Oryzias latipes: one gene and its partner. The protein of the gene in region 2 interacts with the protein of the main gene of each other region in a pairwise test. Links are inferred from orthologs where the notes say so. Each region holds a gene or a part of one and is shown on either strand. Other genes may lie near its edges.

Evidence for each region. The genes of interacting proteins can lie anywhere in the genome.
Region 1: the proteins of ankyrin repeat and SOCS box protein 13 (region 2) and nudt3 interact in a two-hybrid assay, tested with the Homo sapiens proteins (2 studies listed by BioGRID and IntAct). The link is inferred for Oryzias latipes from reciprocal best matches to the Homo sapiens genes ASB13 and NUDT3.

Annotation. Positions count from the first base shown.
Region 1 is NC_019863.2:14,581,062-14,584,716, reverse strand, and holds part of nudt3 (diphosphoinositol polyphosphate phosphohydrolase 1), read right to left. Parts: intron 1,077-3,655; coding exon 1,032-1,076; intron 946-1,031; coding exon 861-945; intron 1-860. UniProt on the Homo sapiens protein: Cleaves a beta-phosphate from the diphosphate groups in PP-InsP5 (diphosphoinositol pentakisphosphate) and [PP]2-InsP4 (bisdiphosphoinositol tetrakisphosphate), suggesting that it may play a role in signal transduction.
Region 2 is NC_019881.2:9,233,838-9,237,592, forward strand, and holds the start of ankyrin repeat and SOCS box protein 13, read right to left. Parts: upstream 2,664-3,755; coding exon 2,621-2,663; intron 1,253-2,620; coding exon 1,065-1,252; intron 1-1,064. UniProt on the Homo sapiens protein: May be a substrate-recognition component of a SCF-like ECS (Elongin-Cullin-SOCS-box protein) E3 ubiquitin-protein ligase complex which mediates the ubiquitination and subsequent proteasomal degradation of target proteins.

The DNA.
Region 1 (3,655 bases), on a different chromosome or scaffold from region 2:
GTTGACAGAAGAGAGACATTGAGGAGTTAGGTCAACACAACCAAGAGGAGGAGGGGGGGGTGGGGGTGGGGGTGGGGGGGGACTACAACAAGAAAGCCCTGTGTTCAGTGGAAGTGGGGCCAACTATGATTAATACTAAGCAGATGTGGAGGAGAAAAAACTAGGGGTGCAACAATTGACTTAATCAAATTAACCTATACTATTATAACATTGTTTCCAAATGTAATGTATTATAATTAATATTGAAAAATACCATCTGGGTTTAAGCCTGGTAGGTTTATTATACTATGACGTAAAAAAACCAAGCGCATCACAGCAGAGAACACACACTCCACTTTGACCTGTGACACACAGTGGTAGAATGTTCCAATACTGTTCCATCTGTTTTATTTTGATGTGGAAAAACAACAATGGGCTGAACTTTAGGAAACTAAAATGTGAACAGATTTTTCATTAATTCCTGTTTACTTTTTTGTTTTGTACACATATTTAATTTACACTTGATTATCTTGCGAGACATTCAAGGGCTCTAGAAAACTTCAGCTGCACTGTTAAGTATTTATCTCTAAGACACAGTGGTTGAATTTTTGGCTAAAGATGTCCTGGATCGATCTTAAGTCAGTAAATCGAATCGTTCAAAATGAACCCATATCCACTATGAATCGTATCGTGAACCACAAATTATGAAATGAATAAATTGTTAAAAGGAATCGTTGCACCCCCCCCCCAAAAATTAAAATCTCTTCACAACACTTTCACCTAGATATGGGAGAAACTAAAATAATGAAATTTAGCATGTGACTGAAAGAAACTATGTTTGCATAACTGAAATTTTGGCAGAAAATAACTAAAGTTCTTACCGATGTTAACCGAGTCCTCCCAGTCTTCCAGCACTTCCGTTACAATAAGAACATAAACGTAGGTTCTGTGCTTTCTTTCCCGGTTCTGTTAAAAGGAAGAAATGACCAGAGAGTGAGTTAAAATTTTGAAGACCTCTACAAAAACAACGCAATAAGCAGACAGCGGCTTACTTCAAATATTCCAACTAAGCGACCTAAAGTCCCCTTCACACCGGCCTGTAAAACAAAAACAAGAACAAAGAAAGCCATAGTCACAACAGACAATTTTTTTAACAACTTTTATGATTTTCTCTCAGCTGTGCAAATTGTGGCCCTGCCACATGTGACCTTAACCAGGGTGTATCCCACTTTCGCCCAACTGCAGCTAGGATAGGCTCCAGTATCCCCGTGACCCCAAAAGGGATTCGGAAAATGGATGGAGGGACGTGCAAAATCTACAAAAATATTAATAAATATAAAAGTCTAACTATAGGCATTGAATGCCATCCATGTCATCTGTTGCAGTGCATTTCATTTATTGAAAAGTCATTGTGTTCTTTGAATTCTAGGTTGATTTTAATTTGCCAAACCTAATGAGTAGAAAAAAAAAAGACTAAGGGTTGGTTTAAGGACAGAAGATCGGCTTAACTTCAAGACCGAGTTGTAATTTGATTTTCCGATGGCTTAGAGTCAGATGCTGAACTCAGAAATCATTCAAGAAGGTCAACAAAAAAAAAAACTTCAGAAAAGATAAACATAGGTTAGAGACAGTAAGGTTAGAGTGGAAAGGAGGACGTTTTTTTTCCACATAGAAAAAAATTGTTTAAAAATGCTTTAATTTTTGTGTCACAGCTGTGCACACCATAAGACCGCAAAATAAGGTCAGTACAAATCAGTTAGGACACTTTTTGAAACATAAACAATAATCTAACAACCCCTGGGTAACATAAAAGAAAAGTCAAAAGATACTGTCATAACTAAAACCAACTATCAAAGTTAAAAACATGTATGCTCAGTAACTTTAAATATATTTTAGAGTGTTGTGAATTAACACCCAATAATGAATAAAGATTGTTTTAAAAAAATAAAATAAAATCTGCACCTGGATTCAAGGCTGCAATGTGCCCTTCAGACAAAACTTCACATGAATACAAATATATCCAGAAAACTAAAAATTGACCGCATTTCAATTAGTTTTAGACAAATTTTGTGGTTGTTTTAAAAAATAATAACTACTTAATTAGGTAAAGTCCAGCTGTTGCTGTCACACAGACAACAGGTAACAGACTCCCATAAGTGCCACACAGGCTCATGTTGAAAGGTCAGGAAAAGAAACAGAATTGCCCCTTCACTGTCAGTTATAATTACTCTTCAGGGCTATGCAAATGCCACAAGGTTACCAACAATAAATAACAAAGCTTCTTATTATTAAGTGCCTTTAAAAAAAATTCTGATACCAAAAAGTATCCCAGATGTCAGCTCCCAGATGAATAGTTCACATGTTTTTAAAAAAAGAGCAAAGCCACTTGCTGGCATCTTTGAAGCTGCTCCTCCAGGCTTCAATTTCACTCTATAAATAAATGTTGACTCCCTCTACTACGCCTTGGACTCAGTGTTGCACTCTTTAGGCGGCAAACTGAATAATAAATAAAAACTAAAAATCCAATAGACTTGAATCACAAATCAACTTGTGTTTTTATTGAGTGTTTGTTTTTCCACCAGCTCACTCAAATTGTGCAACTGTAGACTAGTAAAAATAATCCAAGAGGATGACGACAGAGCTAAAGTAACATGAAATGTTATGCAACGCTGTGTCGTGCCTTCACACATCAGGGTTAGGGTGTATCACTAACACTAGGATAAGCTCATGCAAGGATCCGATAAACTGACAAAAGAATCTTGTGCAATCTCTGGCCTCCTCCTGAGTGCTGTCCCCCCCTCCCTGGCAAGACCCCAATCCAATAAGAACCAGAAATCGCTCACTGCTCATATGGTAATCTGACCAGGCTCACCAGGATTAGAATACATGCTGGTGTGCTACCATCAGGAGGCTTAGAAGGCCAGAGTCTATGATGTATAGAGCATTGGTTAAAGTAGATGCATGCATCTATTTTTTGTACTACGACCCAATATTGTGACGCAACATTGAGATAGCAACAAAACACAGACATTGGTCATCAAAAACCAAAAAAGTAATATATAGCAGAAGTCAAGTTGAGCAATCACATGCTCAAAAGATGTTATACAACAAGGAGTTTTCATATTGACATTCAGGGTAGGATTCAGTTTATTTAGTATATTTCCATCTACTCGCTCCAAGTAACAAGGGATGTTATAGTATACACTGGAGAACCACCTGATTCCAGAAGGGATCTAGATAGTATTCAGTTTACTTTGATTTTCATAGGATTTCAGAACTGTCCAAGTACCCGTAGTTTTATACAAATTGCTGCAATTACACAACAGCAAAAAACCTGGGTTGTGATCAAGAAGACACAGCTGCAAAGGGACTTTTACCACAGATAATCCTGCAACAAGAATTTATCTGATGCGACAATAACTAGAATCAGATATGGAAGTCCATAGTTCTTTTACATTCTTGTGTGTTTGAGCAGCGTTATCCAGCTGATGGACGGCCAATGTTCAATCTGCATGACTTCTCTGAACAATAAAGTCCGATGTGGTTTTAGTACTCGGCTCCTATACTGGCATAACTCACAGCTCAAACTCTGCACATTTTTCTTCTACCCCCAAATGAATCCAGCGCCATGGTTACTAACCATAAAAAGACTTGTGTTGTTATTAAAATGAAATAC
Region 2 (3,755 bases):
TAGAACATGCAGGGGGGCCAAGTGTTTCGTCTCCCTTTGATGTGAGCAATGGGGTGAGGCAGGGGGGCATAATGTCTCTGGTCCCCTTCCATCTCCATGTTGATAAATTGACAAATGAACTGACTGCATGCAATATCGGATGTTTGATTGGAAGTTTTAAAGTAAATCATTTATGCAGATGATTTAGTGGTTTTCAGTCCCTGGAGCTTTGGTTTGCAACACCTTTTAAATGTCTGTTCCCTTTTATGGTTTTAAAAAGGATATTTAAATGCTAATACGAGTGGTCTGCTTATTGTTTGCACTAAGGTTGATGTGACATTGAATTCTCTGCTTTTAAATTGTGCAATAATGAGCTTGATGTCAGTCATAAAGTTAAATATCTTAGTCATGTTATTAATGACAATATTACTGATGACATTACTGACATCTGTAGACTATATGCTAAATGCTCAGATAAACACTAAGGCACGCAGGTTTTATTCATGATCATATTAAAATTCTTTGATTCAAATCTTACTGCGCTGCTTTGAACATGCCACACCTGTGGATTGACTACAGGGGGTATAGTGTGCAGAGGTTTTAAAGTTGCTCATAATGATGCCCTTCGGAATTTATTTAATAGACCACGGTGATAGTGATAGTGATAGTGAGTTGTTTACATTCTCCAGGCTCTATTAAGACATTTGATCTATGGTTTTATACATCTTAATGCCTCAGAGAATTAAATGATTTTACCCCTCACCAATGTAAAGTACAGCATTCTTAAATATCAGTCCCCAGTCTGGAGGTTCTGGTGTGGGTGCACTTAGTTTAAGTCTGTAATCTGTGTTTCACTTGGTTTTACTGTCTATTGTTCTCCGCATTTTTATCTGCTCTCTATTTCAGTGAATGTTGTTTTATGAATGTTGTTGCTTTTTTTTATGGTCTTGTCATTTTGACCTTGAGTCTGTGATAAATTACTCATTCATTCGATGAAGGAAACTTGACTCCATCAGATGTCATTCGCAGCATAAATTCAGAAATACTTTCTTAATCCCCAAAGGGAAATCAGAAACAGCAGTCACCTGAGCTCCAGCATCCAGCAGCAGCTTCACACACTGAGCTTCCCCCCGCAGGCAGGCCTCATGCAGCGGTGTGATGGAGTCCACAGCCACCACATTGACCGAGGCTCCCCCCTGGATGAGGTGCCGTAGCTGAGAGGTCTGGCCGAGCGCCGCCGCCTTGTGTAACTCTGTTCTCTCGGCCCAACAACCTGAAAAGTTAGAGGCTCTAAGTTAGAGGCTGCAGATTTTCTCATTTTTATAAAATTATAATACATGACAGTGTGGATTTACAACAGCTACGCAGCCTTTATTTATCATGACTTTGACTGTAACTTCAGTTCTTATACCATACTGATGCATTAGAGGTGCTAAATATCCTCCTCATCCTCTCCCTCCCTCCCTCTCGCTCATTGTGCAGAAAGAATTAAACATAACAGGGTAAAATAACTCGGCAAAACACAGTAAAACAATTACAACTAAATATATTTAGACAAAAATCTACACTTGTACCCAAATCCGTCCAGACAGGCAAAGGCAATGATATCCCACAATTCCTTGCGCTGCCGATCTAGCAGCACCAAAGTTACACCTACTCAATTGAATTAATTTGAATGAAAGGAAAATAAATTTCTGATAACTGTGTTATTTTTAAGTTGACTGAACTAAAAAAAATTATTTATCTTAACTGAAGAAAATAATTAAGATAGATAAATGTAAAAAAGTTTATCTTCATGCATATGCGCGTTTACATCATAGTTTACGGTACACACGCCCAGCGAGCTGGAAAGACGGCATAAAGCGCTAATATCACCCATGTCACTGTTACCCATTATCAAATAACATGTACTGTACTCTGAAATAAATTAGTTATTGCAAGCCCCATATTGTTATTTGATGTACAAATGTATTCATTTAGATTGTATGTCTGTTCATGTCTGATTGATTATATTTCAGACAAAACATGTTATTTCTGGTAGTTTATTATGGAATGAACAGACATGCAATCTCAATGAATACATTTGTACATTAAATAACAATATGGGGCTTGCAATAACTAATTTATTTCAGAGTACAGTACATGTTATTTGACAATGGGTAACAGTGTGGGTGATATTAGCGCTTTATACCGTCTTTCCAGCTCGCTGGGCGTGTGTGCCGTAAACTATGATGTAAACGCGCATGCAAAAAGTCAGTGACGGCTAGCGATACCGCACTTCCACAGATGTCGGCTCACTTGACCGCGGTTCATAAAGCGGCCTTTCAGCCTCTAACAGACGCGTGACAGAATCTCACTGCAAACAGCTAAACCTCCAGAGAGCCAAACCAGATCCTGGTCTTAGATCACAGCGGAACTCCAGCTTCATTACAGCTACTGATCAGATCACGGATATGATACTAGTTTGATAGGAAATGTCGCATTCATCTCCTCAATTTGATTTCTGCAAACTTGTTTCTTACACAGCATTAGCCTGCTTGTTTTTAGCACATTAGCTCGCCGCGTGCCGAGCATGCTGACGTCAACCGCTCTCATGATCATACAGCGACACAGTAAGAGCTGTTTGGAGCGCGTCACCCACCGATATCTCCAAAGTAATACGGCTGACGGCTTGCCACCTCCATCCTCCAACACGACCCCAGCAACAGATGTTTGTAAACAGTGTCCGCTGCGCACACGTGCTGCTGTATCACGTGACAGTCCTGCAATCATAATGGGCATGCTGGGTAATGTAGTTAAGTAAACGGGCTTATCAAGAAAGATTTAGGAAGACTATAGCATTTTCTTGCCATTGACTTTGACCAGACTGATGGCATTGTAAAAATGACACAACAAGAGGATGTGAAAAAGATACTGAGAAGGTCTGACATGCAGGATTGTAAAACCTAGATCAACCCCTAAGTGAACAGAAGCTGATTTATACAAATGTTGCAGAAAAGATGACTGATGCCAGAAAATACAGAGACATTAGGAGCCTTATTTATCTTGCAACATGTCCACGGCCTGACTTGAGTTTTGTAGTAAGTAAATTGTCTCACTATTTTAATGAACCAACAGAAGAACACTGGACTGCTGTAAGACATGTACTGAAATCAAAATGGAACTTCGTTACAGGAGATGGGATTGGGACAGGGATTACATGCATATAGTGATGCAGACTGGGCAACAGACACAAGTGACAGACGCAGCGCAACTTGTTACTGAGTCAGTCTAAACGAGAATGGTCCGACCTACATTCGCTGTATCCACTTGTGAAGCTGAGAATATGGCATTAGCTGCCACTGTTCAGGAATGTATGTACCTGGTACAACTGCTACAGGGCATGGATGGGTACCACCCTACCCAAAGTCTATAAACACAACCAAGGGGCTATAAAGTTAGCAAAGAATCCTATAAGCATACAAAGATGTAAACATGTTGACATCAATTACCATTTTGTAACGTTAACTGTAAATGATGGGAAAATCTTTTTGGAATATTGTCCAACTGACCAGATGGTGGCAGATGTAAGGACAAAGCCTGTAACAAAACTTAAGTTGCATAAGTTTTTGAAGTTTATGTTTGGAGTCATCTTTTCATACTCATGTATGATAAGTTGAGAGAAGATGTAACTATAGTTAAGTTTGTATAGAAATATGACAACGTCAGAACAAACATATTGTTTGCTCTCAGTTGTAACATAATTATAATCAGTAATAAATGATGAGTGATGCGTT